Linked DNA regions of Lytechinus pictus. The protein of the gene in region 1 purifies or fractionates together with the protein of each later gene. This does not show direct contact. Links are inferred from orthologs where the notes say so. Each region holds a gene or a part of one and is shown on either strand. Other genes may lie near its edges.

What was found.
Region 2: the proteins of solute carrier family 22 member 21-like (region 1) and protein YIPF3-like purify together in Homo sapiens (co-immunoprecipitation; 3 studies listed by BioGRID and IntAct, counting the BioPlex papers as one, with this or other methods). This does not show direct contact. The link is inferred for Lytechinus pictus from reciprocal best matches to the Homo sapiens genes SLC22A5 and YIPF3.

The regions. Positions count from the first base shown.
Region 1 is NW_026974140.1:5,909,427-5,917,566, forward strand, and holds the start of solute carrier family 22 member 21-like, read left to right. Parts: upstream 1-4,837; 5' UTR 4,838-5,231; coding exon 5,232-5,597; intron 5,598-7,874; coding exon 7,875-8,105; intron 8,106-8,140. UniProt on the Homo sapiens protein: Sodium-ion dependent, high affinity carnitine transporter. Involved in the active cellular uptake of carnitine. Transports one sodium ion with one molecule of carnitine.
Region 2 is NC_087250.1:17,100,063-17,107,969, reverse strand, and holds the start of protein YIPF3-like, read left to right. Parts: upstream 1-4,584; 5' UTR 4,585-4,616; coding exon 4,617-4,655; intron 4,656-7,017; coding exon 7,018-7,206; intron 7,207-7,907. UniProt on the Homo sapiens protein: Involved in the maintenance of the Golgi structure. May play a role in hematopoiesis.

The DNA.
Region 1 (8,140 bases):
TTTACAAGAACTTCTTACTAATCAAAATATTGCGAGCAAAAAGCACGAGCTGGCATTTTTTTTAATATTCAAAACTGATACAGAGACACCTTTTAAACAATTCATGAAACATAATAATCATTCATTAGCTTAATCGAATCATTCGATTGCGAAAGGATCTGAGAATTTAGTGTTTTTAGGAATTCATTAGAAGCATAAAATTGTATCTCAACATTAAAATAAGATGGGCGCAACGCATGAGCTAAAGCTTTATATACCAATACAAAATTTGGACATTTAAAATATTTTCGTAGTTATGAAAAAGATTGATATTTCATGAAAGCTCGAATCCCGAGGAGGAATATTTTTTATTAATTGACTTTTAAAAAGGCTGTTCTAAGCCCCATTTAATATTTGATTATAAGTCGAATAAAACAGGAAAAGCTGAAAAAATAAATTATTTTTTATTCCATCATTATTCTCTTTCTCTTTAACCCTGGTTCCTTTTTTTCTGGGGGGGGGAGGAGTATTTTGGTTTTAAAAAAGAGAGAAAAAAGATAATTGCTGGCTTGTGGACGGTAGTGGTAGGGACACCCCTCCCCCCCGTAGTTACGCGTTACGCCATTATTGGACGAAATGATCCTACATGTCCGAGGCGAAACTTGTGCAATCAATTAAACGTTATTTAAAAAAAAAATTAAAGCTTGCGCTGTTTAACTTCAATCTCTTTCACCCAAATTTACGATGAATGCGAGCGTTATGAAATATATAACTATCAACGTCTGGCGAAAAGAATAACCAACCGATCACCTGACGAGAACGCGTATCACGTGATCTGCATATCAGCTCCGATCGAGAGTCAGAAGTGAAGAGCAACTGCCAAGAAAATCAAGAAAAGGTCGTCAAAATGTAAGTTTCCCTTAATTTCTTTCATTTTTTGTTGTTGCTAACAATGCATTTACACACTAAAATTTAAATTTAAATAAAAGAAACGAATTATAGCTTCTACTTGTGATATAATAGAGAAATGTCCTGTTCTCAAAGATTTCTAACCCAAAATACTACTGATGTCGCCTATGAGGTCCATACATGTAATGTTTGGACCTCATTGGTACTAGGAGTGACTTCTACTGGACTTTGCCTTTGGAGGCTCAGATGCAAGTATTTTAGATTTAGGTTGTGAATTATTTAGGGTGAGATTGTACATGTTTGAAAACCATTAAACGGGGAGGTGCGAAACTACACTAGCGCCGTCCGTCCGTGACCACGATTGATCCACCATAATAGTAATAATAGCTGGATCATTTTGGCAAGAACACACATAAGACAGGAATAACCGTCGTTTCTGGGGATTTATTCAACAATTTCTGACATTTTACTGTAATCCCCATTTACCGACGGTAGGGTGTACGTGTGGGCTCGCATGTGTTCTCATTCCCTCCCTTTTGTCAATTCACAGTCCAAAGTTTGATGTAATTTTACACATCAAATTTACAATCTAAGGATGTATAAACAAACTTTTAAAATTTGATATTTAAATGTTTAAATACTTTAAACGATATAGATGAAAAAGGCATGAAAAATATACTTTACCGATGTTTAATTGGGTTGAACACGATAAAAATGGTCAAAATGGCAGCCAAACTATAAAATATTTACAAACGAACGTCAACAATCACGAATGTGATATCGATATTGCTTTCGATATTATACGATCTGCTCCATATGCGAACGAAACCGAAGATAAACGATACTAGTTATACTAGTACTAGTACTAGTTATAATCGCGATATATCGATTCGAGACATTAAGTTAATAACGATAATGACGTCATTCAAGATGGCAACTTGCAAGAAAAACCGTCAGGTCCGGTGAAAATGTCTTAGATGACAGATTTCTCAATCATCCAGAGGATTTTTTTCAATAACTCCGGCCCAAGGTATGCAATTACTTAAGTTATTTATATTTCCCTGATAATGGAAACCATGAAACTTTCAATTTTGCTTAAAAATCAGTTTTAAATCGCGATCTATAAAACGCTAGTTCACTATACGTTGGCTGTAGGTACGGGGCCCCATCCCCTTCAGTCTATGTATGGTGAGTGGAGCCAACGTAGTTCAGCGGAACAACCAAAATACAGAGACTGAAGCTTTTGGTCTAGAACACACATTGCACAACACAACAGTCAAGGCTAGCCTTCGGCCCCTACACAGAAATGAGCATGTGGGACAAGCCAATATGACTTTTTCTATTTTTTAAGCCCGCGCCCGCGCGTCAATTCATAAAACTAACATTACCTAAAGGATCAAGTAGGCCTACTACTAGACTTTTACCTACTAGTGTTATCGTCTTAATACAGATCTATTGGAATTGAACCTCTGCGAAAAGCCGGCATTCGAAAAAAATTGTCCTCTGTACTGTCTCTGACTGTGATGTGGCTTGCAGCTGTGTTCTGTTTGTGAATTGTGAGGGCGCATTATTATTTACCGTAATTATAGGGGGGGCCGGGGCGGGGGGGGGGGGGGGACCACTGAACTAGAGATACGTATCTCTAGTTCAGTGGGGGGGACACGCAATATCAAATGTCCCTCACTGTTTGTTGAAGGAACAAGAAAAGGAAAAAAAGGGGGGAGATAGAAAAAAAGAAGGGAAAAGAGAGGAGAAAAAGAAAAAAAAAAAAACAAGACGAGTGAATAAAAAAAATAGGTGACTGAGGAGAAGACATCTTTCATGTCACTACACGTATAGAGAAATTTTCGCTCATGCTTCGTGCTCGCATTGCCTTACAGGCTGAAATGGAGCTTAACTTTTTTTGAAGTTTTGAAGTCAATATACAAAACATATTTCAACATATTTTGACATCGAGCTTTCAATATTTTGTTTGATTCTTTAAAAAGTGTTTTCTAAAATGTCCGTTTTATGGTCTGGATATCAGCGAGCTAGCATTATTTTGTCAAGTACTTAATATTCTCTTCGTGTATTCCATAAAGTTCTCCAAATATCCCTTTTCAGGTCTGATTTCAGCACTTGCTGCGCGCTCGCATTTTAATTTGTGAGTTATGTATACCTATTTTAATTCTCACAAACTACTTAATCTCCCTTTAGGACAGTTTCGGCTTGCGATTTGCGATCGCATTATTTTTGTTAAAATATATTACCCAATGCATCCTATTCATAATGACAAAAGTACTTAAAATGTCTAGGTTTCTGGCCTTAATATAAAAAATGCGCTCTTATTAGGCTTATTAGATTAGTAAGTAAAATGATAACATTTTCATGAATTTCTAACAATCAAATTGTCCAGTTTCAGAATGGAATACGGGGGCCTATCGACAAGATATATATAGTTACATATATATATATATATATATATATATATATATTATAATATATATATATAGTGCGTATCAAAAAACCGGGACAGATTTGAAAAGTCTATAAAATTTTTGTTTAAAATTATGAACTCTCTATTTTGGTGCCAATGGGTGCTCTGAAGTCTTATCCTTCAAATGCCATTAAAATGATTCAGTTTCGTTCATGCTTGAACGAACACGGAATGTTTTTGTCTGGGGTTAAAAAGAGACTTGCGCCAAAATGGCATAAAATGATATATACTGATGATCAGACTTCTTGCTAATCAGCAGACTTTCTTCCCATTCATTCTATGGGGAGAGGTAATTTTGTTACGCTGCCTCTAAACTTTGGAATACGATCCCAGCTTCCACAAGCTTTATACTCAAAAGTCGTCTCAAAACTTATTTGTTTAATTAAGCAGTTATAATTTATGCAGTCTACATAACAGCTTCAATCCAATCTTCTTTTTTTGGTCTATTTTCCTAAACGCACAGAGAGTTCTACGGGTAGTGATATGCGCTATGTAAGCATGGTTGTATTATCATTCAGGAAAAAAAATTCTGGGCCCTTTTGCATAAAAGTTATTATTATTCTATAACTTTGTCATCCGATGGTTTCTTCAAAGGAATTCTTGAATTTGATTGGCTGCTGAGCAATAATGCCATGGTAGATAGTATTAAAGGGATGGTCCGGTCTGAAAGTATTTATAGCTTAATACATAGAGTAGAATTCACTGAGCAAACTGCCGAAAATTTCATCAAAATCGGATATCAAATAAAAAAGTTATTGAATTTTAAAATTTAGCAATATTTTGTGAAAACATGCACTCGTCATGAATATTCATTAGGTGGGCTGATGATGTCACATCCCCACTTGATATGAAATTAGGTTTATTCAACTTTTTTCCTCCAAGAACTAGAAAAAATTGGATTGACAACTGATTTAGTGCATTAGATTTTTATTGCTGCAACTTATTTCATTATAAGGGAGACATATTATTCACACAAGTATGAAATAATGAATAAATTATGATTTTATTTAATAACATAAGAAAACGGAAAGTGGAGATGTGACATCATCAGTCCACCTAATAAAAATTCATGATTACTGTTTTCACAAAATATTTCTGAACTTTAAGATTCAATAACTTTATTAATTGTTATCCGATTTTGATGACATTTTTGGCATTTTGCTTAGTGAATTCTACTTTATGTATTAAGATATAAATATTTTCAGCACGGACCATCCCATCTCAATGGGCTCAAGAAATATCATCGTCCAAATTTAGAAATTATGAAAATAGAAGAGATTGTTTTCCGACCCCCTGCAAAAAACTTGACGAACATTTTCCAGGATTTTCTCGATTCAAAATAATTCGCCCTTATGATGGTAGTCAAAGTATAAATAGCTGAATAAAAAAAGTATATGGACGTGTGTAATTTACTTCGTAATTTTCTATAGACTGATAGTTGTAATTAATTCAACATTGTTTTATCGCGCATGTAATTACGAGTATAAGTTCTCATAATATAAAGACAACCGTTTCCTGTTGCAGGACTGCATGGCCGTTCTTCTCTTGGTTTCGGTTGCAAGTGAGTTGCCAAGAGACTGTCAGATTAGTTTCGAGAGGAATTGTATATAAGTCATATCGTTAGCTATATTCTTTTTGTAATCGTGTCGTTGTACTTAGAACACTTGAAGCAAGGGTGTTATTTACTTCATACTTGAATACTGAACAGAAGTTTGGGTAGTACTTATTTATATTTGCACTGTGATCTAGCGATATATGAGGGATACCACGGGGAGATCATTGGTCTTTATATAACCTGAGAAACGACCTGCCACGGTCAGGACGGTCGAATTATTCGGGGGGAAAACTATATGTCGGACTATATGCCATGGATCTGGACGAGGCGCTCAAATCCTTGGGCGATTTCGGGCGATATCAGACCATCATTTACGTGCTCATATGCCTGGTCGGGCAACTCACACAGTCATGGCATATGCTAGCCATCACCTTCTTGGGGGCGGTTCCCGAGCATCGTTGTCGCATTCCTCCAGGGGATGATCCAGCGGGTGAAGATGTCGTCATGGACCCTTGGAATCATTACTATCCGGTCGAGCAGGGCAAGTCAGAAGGCGAAGGTCCAGTAAATTCCAGCTGTTTGAGATTTGTGAACTTCACCGCTGGCAATGCAACGGAGGGGTGCATCGATGGATGGGTTTATGATGAAGATCTCTATGGGAAAACGATTGCAACAGAGGTAAGATCATTCACGGATGATGAAATATTAACTCATTAAACGCATTAAAATTAAGAAGGGGAGAGGGAGGGGGGGGGGGTTAAAGTGTATGAGAGAGAAGGGGGAAGGGGTGTAGTTGGATATAGGAAGTGGCAAAGATATTAATGTAATATTTTGTCTTGGAAGTGCTTATTACCATTTGTATTAAGCATACACACCGTAGGGTAATTTCTATAATTTGCGGGTGATGCTCATATTTTTTGTTTCATACAGATCTATTGATTATTATTAATGGAAGTAAGTGAATAGTAGTTCTAAACAAATGAAACTAAAAATTAAACCTAACGTTAAGAATCAAACTAGAAAAACATAAATGTATAATGTCCTGGTTGGGTAAATAAATCTTTCTATTATGTTTGTCAAAGAGTCCTTAAAATAAAAATGAAATACAGGTCACATTTGATCGTTGTGAATCAATGATTGACCTCTCAGTCATGACCTCCATTTATGCATCTTGATCCGTTGTCATAGAAACAAGGTCACAAGTTTATGACTTTCAATGAAATTAGATCCAACCCACGCATATATATTTTCCCCTCTCTCTCTCTCTCTCCTATAGTGTTCTTTCACCCACGATCAACTCGACTTCTATTCTAACTGTTTTCCAGCCCCTCTCTCTTTCATTATCACTCTCCTCTCCGAGATCCCCCTCTCCATCTCTCCCCCTCTCTCTACCCCCTCTTTCTCTTTATTATATTCTCAATTGTTGTGACTACAATCAAAGGAGTGGGTGCGATGGTCTATCAGAGTGTGCTACCAAAATTATATATCAGTTTGTAAATGGCAAATCGTAATAGCTCTAAATTTCTCTTACATCTGTGGGTCTACTATGATATAGTAAAGATGATGGATTATAAACGTTATCTAACATCTTATATAATTCGGTTGATATTTTGGTCAATGTACGGCAAATCTCAAATTGTAATTTGATTACAGAGCAATTCCACTATAGATCCAATAGACGTCATTCTAATGTACATAAAATCAAAGGTCGATAAAGAGCAGTTACTCTTGAGTGCAAAGTCCCAAAGTGCATTCTTTTTAAATCAGTAGGCCTAATAGTGTGAATAGTAAACAATGTGTTTGCAGGTTTAAATATTCTATGGTATTCTAAAAATAGAAACATAATTGTGAAACAATAAGATTAGCTGTTTTCTGCAAGTTAAAGCCCCTCTCATATTTTCTGACCATTGAATATCGTTAAATGAAAACATTATGTTTTGAACTTTAGATGCAACATAACAGCTTTAAAAGTTCTCTGGATTTTCTTACACGCATTTTTCCGTATTTCCCTATCTCGACCTCTTACACGTTGTAAGGTTTTTTTCGGTTTTGATTCCATACAAACAGGAGCGGGGGTAATAACCAGGCGCGTATACAATATGCCTACATCGCCCCTAAAAATCTTTATAAAAAAAAAAAGCGGGGGGGGGGGAGAGAAATTGAAATATACGATTGAAGCATAATTACAAGAAAATTATATCATTGATATCATTAATATCATGATGAAATATAAATGCCCTTTTCACACTTTTCAAGCTCTTTCCCACGTCTTTGGAACGCTCTTTCATCTTCCTTTCGTTGTATCCCAAATATCACATTGTTCAGATCCAATTTAAAGACTTATCTTAAGAAGAAAGCACATTCAACATTAGCCCCATTTAGAGTGTCCTCAATATTTTTAATTTTTGGTTATATAATTTCTAACTCACTTTTGTTTGTATATTTCATATGTTCTACATTGTAAAGCGCTTTGATATGGATTTCATGAAAAGTGCTTTATAAGACTAGGTTATTATTATTTTTATCATCAATTTCTAGTATGTAAATCTCACTGCGCCTAATTCCTGCACACATACTCCATCATGCACGTCATGTTTAATAAAGAACTTCGTTAATGTTAAATTTGCCTATTCTCATTTGAAGTCCATAGTTGCTTTTTTTTTGAATAGAACAATCCAATATAATTATATGGGATATAAGTAACGTTTATCCGTCCCTCAGTAAAATATGTGTTTAAGTTGAAGAAATTTCATTTTCGTCGTATTGCAACAAGTTATATCCTAAAAGTCGGATCCATTTTCCCGCCTTGTCTAATCACGGTATTTCAATTGAAAGGAGAATCGAAGAAAAGAATGGAATTCTTATTGCAAATTTGATTGAAACAAATATTAGTTGTTCTTGTCGATTAGTCCCACCATCCCTATTATTATTTGTTGATTTTTAATGTTTTTTTAGTGGGATCTGGTTTGCAATGACAAAGACAAGGTGGATCTTTCTACTTCGATCTTCATGGGTGGGGTTATGGTCGGATCATTAATGTTTGGACAGCTTTCTGATCGTTTTGGAAGGAAGCCGATATGGTTTATTTCCATCTGGGCCCAACTCGCTTTCGGTGTCGCCGTCGCTTTCTCCCCAAACTACTGGACGTTTGTCGCCCTCCGATTCTTCGTCGGTGTTTTCGAACAGGTTTGGCACCGTTCATTTATTCTCAAATTAAATGG
Region 2 (7,907 bases), on another chromosome or scaffold:
TAATGAACCTTCGGAACAACGAACCTTATTTCGTTTTCGGATTATCGAACCTTCGGAACATCAAACCTTATTTCGTTTTCGGATTATCGAACCTTCGGAATAACGCCACAAATGTTCGGATTAACGAACCCTTTTATGTTTTCGGATTAACGAACATCGAGGTATAGGCAATTAACGTGTTTCGGAATTACGAACCTTCGGAATTACGAACCTTCGGAATTACGAAGTGTAACCAAATCACACTAACAAGTGCAACCAAAGCCAATACTATACGAACTATTTTTAAGGGGATGGTGCGCATTATTTTCTCGCATGGCATTTTGTATCCCTTCTTACAAAACAAGTTTCATCAATAATGCTCCTATATTGTACTCAATAAAACAGTATTCAATCACAATTTTAAATTCTTGGGGGAAAACATAATTATAATTTTATATAATACAAATTTAGAGGGAAATTACATGACATTCATTCATTCTTCACATAAAAAGTATATATATATATATATATATATGTATATACATATATATATATATATAATGTAAGGGGGCCCTCAGCACAACGAGTAGTGCAGGTACTCATCATTTAGTGTAAATAAACTTGGAAGACAGAAATAACGACGGGTGAGACGTAGCTCTCGAGTTTCCTTTTGTATTGCAAGCTTTCGGCCATCATCGGCCTTCGTCGATATATATATATATATATATATATATATATATGGGCTATTCCACGGTTACTCACGTTACATTTGGAGACACCTTGACTCATACTTGGAGCTGTAACTCCATTATTATTGATAGGAACTAAACATCTCTTTATCACAACAAAGTACACAGTCTGACTATCCTTTGTATAAAAACAAAACTTGGGAAATTTTATTATGCTCCTGGCAAATCTTTGGAATGTGTCGGTTACTCACATTACATGATTTGGACATGCATAAAATGAAAAGTCGACATAAGTGAAAAGTCTCCTCATACAAGGCTTTTATGAAAGTTGATTATATCCATTTCAAAGAAGTATATTAGGGAGACAAACTTTGTACATAATCAAAAAAATAAAGAACACATGGTTTTTACTTGGGGTGCAGATAATATGGTTACTCACGTTACGGTTACTCACATTACATTTTGTCCATGTATGGTTAACAACACAAATGTCATTAAAAATTCAATAATGTGTGTAAAATTCATTGCTAGGAACATCAAAAAGAGATTTTATACAAAAAAATGGAACAATTGGAGCTTTATTAGGGAGTAAGAGGGAAAAGTATGATTTTGCCTACTAATTATGCATAAATTAGCATAATTGCTTAACACCAATTTGCATGAAATAAATTACTGATAGTATTGTAGATTATGTCCAAGACAACCTGCATGCAAATTTTCGGCGTGATCGGGCGGCCAGAGGCCGAGATCTCAAACCCCCCACACCCCCCCCCTCACACCCCCCCCCCCTTGGGCCATATTAACTCCCAAAATACCCCAGCCTAGATAGGGTTACAGGTAAGGACATTCAATGTGTTGTTCGAACACTCTTTAAAGTTTGGTTAATTGAAACCAAGTCTTACTAATGCACTCTCGCATTGTGAATACTTCTACTAATATTCAATTTTTTGTGTGATTGTATGACCACTGATATTTTGATGAACAAAGAGTCACATCAAAGAGGTGTACCCTCATTTTGCTTTTAATTAATCAAAAATAACTTCACAACTCACCATGAGACTTAAAACTTGACATCCCACAGAAAATGTTACCTAACTGCATAATTTTTACTGGTTACTCACATTACATGATGGTTACTCACGTTACAAAGTTACTCACGTTACAGTTTTTCTTCATCATTTTTATAAAAAATTGTACTTTGTAATGATTTTGTTAGTCATCACTGTGTCAAAGATTGTTTGAAGGAAGAGAATTTAAAATCCCACCAATTAACTGTGAAGAATTTTTCTCTCAGAAAACAAAGTCAGTTTTTTCGGTTACTCACGTTACATCACCTGAGCAAGTTGCAATATTCATTTTTGAATGAGTACTACAAATTTACTTGAAAAGCTGTTGTGTATTTTAGGTAATTTGACTCTTCTAAACTTCAGAAATATATAAAGTGGTATGTTGTTGCAATAACAAAATGGTAATAAGGCATATTTCATTTTTCACTATTTTTCTTGTATTTTGGTACAGAATGGAAGACACAACTTTTGACCATTTTTTTCCAAAGTATGCATATGAAAATAAACTTTTTATTTCTTGTTCCTGAAACTATCAAGCATGAAGGACTTAAAGTATTAAAAAAATCAAGAAAATATTGAATTTGAATTTTTAAGCTCATGTCCATCAACCTGTGGAATTGCCCATATATATATATATATATATATATATATATATATATATATATATATATATATATATATATATATATATATATATATATATATATATATATACAGTGGCGTACATGGCATATTTCGTCAGGGGGGCAAGCGACAAGGATGAGTAAGGTGGGGGGGGGGGGGGAGATAGTAGGCATGGACGTATAAAGGCAAAACAATTTCAAGGGGGGGGGGCTGATAATCATTGCCCAAATACCAACTTCACAGTTTTTAATTTTCGAGCGAGCGAAGAGAGCGAAATTTTTTTTCAATTATTATTTGGCATTTTTACATGATGTGAAACGTGCAGAAATTATAAATTCGGTCATGAAATTACCAATACACGAGGATATTTGGGCACCTCGCAGTCCTCGTTGTCCTGCATTTTGCAGCCCACCCCCCATACACGTTTAGATGTGTAGCTCTGGCAGTGGCACTAAAGGTGGGAAAGGTTACCCAGGGGTGCCCAATAAAACAGTCTCGATCCTGCTACTACTGATATTTGCTATCGGGTGATTGCACTTTATTGTCGAAATTAATTCCTTTTTTGTATATCATTCCAGAAATGAAATGTATTGGATCGTGATCGATATATTTCTAATCAAGTGGTAGTTGCAATGATTATATTATACTTATACTATTATACTATTATATAATACTTCTTTTATTCCTCTTCAAAGGTGTTTACATATAATTATGTTCCCAATTCTGCTCATTTGGAGACGTTATAAAAGAGGTATTTGACATTGAAATCAATTAAAAATAATAATATAAAAAACTAATAATTGCGAGCGCGAAGTGCGAGCTGAATTTTTTCTTAAAAAATGAACCTAAAACGATACATTTTGTGCACTTAATTATGAATAGAATGGGTATCTTCCTTAATCAATTATGCAATCGCGAAGCGCGAGCTAAAAATTTTGATATTCCTAACTGGACACTAGACATTTTAAGCAGTTACAGGATGGGTTTCTAAACAGTCGGGCGGGCGCGAAGCGCGAGCTAAAACTTTTGATACTCCGACTTAAGAACTGGACATTCTAAGGACTTTTAGTAGCCATGAACAAAGTTGTTTCTAACTGAATAATTAATTGATGCGAGCGCGAAGAGCGAGCTGAAAATTTGAGATATTCCCCCCTGAAAAGTGGACATTCTAACAATTAATTGGTGTGAGCGCGAAGCGCGAGCTAAATTTTTTTTTATATTTCGACCCGAAAACTTTACATTCTGAGCACTTCATTTAATTATGGACAGGATGGAATTTTATGCGAGTGCGAATTAAGCTCGAGCTGAAATTTTTGATATTCCGGCCTAAGAACTTGATATTCTAAGCAATTTTTGTAACCGTGAACACATTGGTTTCTAATGATATATTTTTGATATTTTTTATTTTTATATTCCGACCTGAAAACCGGACATTCTAAGCACTTCATTTAACTATGAACAGGATGGATATATTTGAACAGTTATATTTGAGCACGAAGCGCGAGCTGAAATTTTTTATATTCCGGCTCTTAGGCCTACTAATCAATTGACGCCTGAAAACTAGACATTTATCTTAAGTAACCAACTTAGAAATTTATGCGAGCGCTACGCGCGAAATTTGCATTGTTATAATTATGTTACCTAAAAGTTGTTCTCTAACTTTTTCCTGTCCCTGGACTGGTCAGCCCAGTCCGTCCTCACTATCGGTACAGAGAGCTCTAAAGGTCGCATTGCGTAAAAATCACAATTTACCGATAAAAGTGTACAGTAATTTAATTGACATTTACCGACAAAGCTGGTGGAACTAAAAAACCGAATCAGTTGGAGCAGCCCCGTGTGCCCGACAGTTTATAATTTTTTTTCCGACAGTCTGCAGTCCAGTTTTTGTTTTCCCCTTTCTCTTCAACTCTTTCTTCTTTTTCCCCTTTCCCCTTTTTCTCTCTTTCCTTTTTCCTCTTTTCTTTTTTCTTTCCCTTTTTTCGCTTTTTTTTTCCTTGTGACTCGTCAGGGGGGGGGGGGGGGAGGGCAGTCTGCCCCCCTGCCCCCCTTATGTACGCTAGAGTATATATATATATATATGTATGTATACGCCTTCTATTCAGACAGTCCAGGCAGTCTTACGAAGATCTTTTCTATTTAAAAAAAAATTAAAAATGAATTGGAATTGTTATTTTTATAGCGCAATGAATATTGTTCATGACATTTCATCAAAGTCGTATGACGCCCTCTACGTTATTTAACATGAAAAACTGCCACCATGGCGAGTTCCGAGTGGTACGCAAAAAATGACGAAATGGTAAGAAAAATGCTTTATAATTAATTTTTGGGGGTATTTATCCATCATTTCCACAATACTAATGTAATCCACGATTGGTGTGTTTTACATTTCTATCATGTTGGGAATGATTGATGATAAGATGATTGATTGTGTGGTGGAAATGCGCTAGCTAGCAGCCGATTATTGTGACTGTTTAGTGTTGTGGATGCGTGTTGTTGTGCGGAATCCGACAGATCTTCTCCCCGGACCCACCCGCTGCGTGCTGCGCTGAGCTGGGACACATTCGTAGATCTACATTCTAACGTTAGTTCTAACGTTACATCGATTTTATTTAGCGCTTGACTTTAATTGAAGCCGTCTCTGTAAAAACTAAGAGGCTAAGCAAAATTTTAGTCTAATTAAAAAAAATGTATGAAATTATTGTCAACGTCCAGTCAAAAATTTAATAACCGCTGTCCGCTGATATAAACAACTAAGTTAGTATTTAGTTAGGCCCTAATTTCCCTAAATAAGACTAAAATATGAGTATGACTATATAGTCTAGATCCACTGCCACGTAGCATAGAGGCTCCTGGAGAGTAAAAATCAGTCTACTATACGTAGGCTTACTCCCCATGGAGCCTGGAATTGCTTCCCATACGGCTACACATACCGGTACCGTCCCAAAACCTGAAAGTTTGAAACTTTCGCCCCCGAGATTTCTACTTTCCCTCTAAAAGATCTAGCCCTAAATCATGTACATGGGGTACACCTTCATTTCTGACATTTCTACGATATTGATTTTCATTTTTAAACAAGATTTCATAAAAAAATGAGAAAAATGTTAAGATGGGAAGAGCTTACGGCCTTGTTTACGTCGCCATCTTGATTTCTTTGTCTTTCGCTTGGCGAAAGACATAGAAATCAAGATGGCGACGTAATTGTCCTGGTTTATGAGGATTTGTCCTGGTTTATGAGGATATATCCTTGTTTTCTTGGACAATCTCAATTTTTGGAACAGTGCCTCTACTGCCTATTGTCTATTAAAGGCAGGATTCAGACCCTTGCCTTTATGAAAAAGCATTTCTTAAAGGGGAATCCAGCCTTGGCCATAAAATGTTGCGTTGGGAAGGAGAAAAATAAATTAAACAGAATGGTGAAAGTTTGAAAGAAATCGGACAAGCAATAAGAAAGTTATAGCTGCTTTAAAATTGAGATCACTAATACTATGTAGATTTCAAATTGGCCACTGGGTAAGTAAATTATGACAAGGGGCATGCAAGGACAACTTTCCCATAGGCCATGTACTTTATTATCAGGGATTTGTGGTTTTCTCCTAAGTACCCATCCCCCTGGGGCAGTAATCTAAATATAACCCAGGAAGTATATTGTTTTATGTCCTCATGAAAGCAAAATATAATTTTATAATTTGAAATAAAACTTTTGGGAAAAATGACATTTTAGCCATAATATGTATTGGAGTACATGGAAGAGTAGTTCTTGCCTTACATCACTATGACATCCCATATGCGGCCAATTTGAAGTCTCCATGGGTATAGTGATTACCAATATTTACAACTTTTAAAAATTCATAACTTTCTTGTTGTTTGTCCAATATTGTTCAAACTTTCACCTATTAACTTGTCTGATTTTTCTTTTCCTTATAAAAACAAGTTTTTGTTTGGGTTGGATTCCCCTTTAAATTAGCACACGTTTGATACAAATTTTCAAAAAATATTTTAACATTGATTCTAATTGAATTTTAGATCTAGACTTTAATTGCTAAAAATTTATATTTATGCTGGCAAAAAAAAAAAATTGATTAGGCCTTTTTATGATCAGTGTTGTAACTTATCGCTACAGTGGATGGCAGTGGTCGGGCCCAACCGGCACCGAAGATTTCTGACCACCATTCATCCTGAAAAACACTGCTCCCGTCCACCACTAATTCCAAATGGAAAGTGTATAAAATGAACTATTCGAAAAGAGGAAATTGACCTGCATTCATTTCTATCTTTAATCTTGTTTTATTTGTTCATTTACAAAGATTTGCAAATTAATGTCAGATAGTTATTACATTGATGTTCCTTCACTCATGGCTTAAAGACTGCCAACTCAGCCTAAAAAAAAAAATCGTGACCACCACTAAAATGGGTCTCGATAGAACACTGTTTATGTTTCAAGTTTTCAAGTTTTTATTGTTATAATTACACACATTGTCATTGAAATGATCATCGTCATCATCACCTTGACCGTCCTCATCATGTCAAGCATTTTTGCGATGGTTATGAGGGTTGTTAATGAAAATATGTCATTATTTTTAGTGAATAATTTTTTAAGTGAATATATATCAACCAATCACCTTTTGCAGAAAGTCTTTAAAATGTTTTTTCTTCTACAGAACGCATCAGCTGTGATTGATCTCTCTGATGCCAATTACCTTGAGAAGGATAATGAAGCCACGCCCTCGTTGGTACAGCAACCACCCGAACTGACCAATGGTGAAGCTGATCAGCACGGAGATAGCCAATCAGCAAAGCCGTCGGAAGCAACCTTCATGGATGCAATGAAGAGCCAGATGGCAGATTCGGTATAATTGTCTTAATTTCTTGTTCCACCCCATAAAGTAACTCAATCATGTCTTCTATTGACGTTAAACAAACATGCTAAAGATGGAACTAATCTCTGTGAGCTATCAAATTCTATTTATGATGTTTAAAGAAATGATAGAATATAACTTAAATAAGGAATTTACTCACATTCAAATATAACAAATAACAACTGAAACTCTCAGGCTGACATTCTGCTTATTTTTGTATGTTCCTCTGAAAAATTTAAATCAGTTATTGGCTTTGTCACAAAAAAGAGAAGAAATACACCATACAATCATTTCCTACTTCCGATTGTCATGGATTAAAATTTGGAAAGAAATGCCATTCCATACTTGTTCATGCTATGTATACAACATGTAGGAAAAAATAATTATAAATATCTTTGGAACATGTCACACTATAGATTTTGTTCTGTTTCATATTTTTAATGCAGTGAAGTAGACATTTTTTAGAATACAAAATGCCTTCCAGGTGTAAGATGCTATTTGAATCTAAAAAGCAAAATTTAAGACTGGACTCGGTTCTATATGTGCCTCAATTTGTGTTGATACCTAATTTGTGCAAAAACCTGCACAAAGCCTTTCCAAATTCAAATTTTTTAAACTGAGTTGATTTATTATTTAGGTTTACTAGTTCGTGTTTTGTCAATTATGTGAAATTCTTGTACGTTGTTATAATG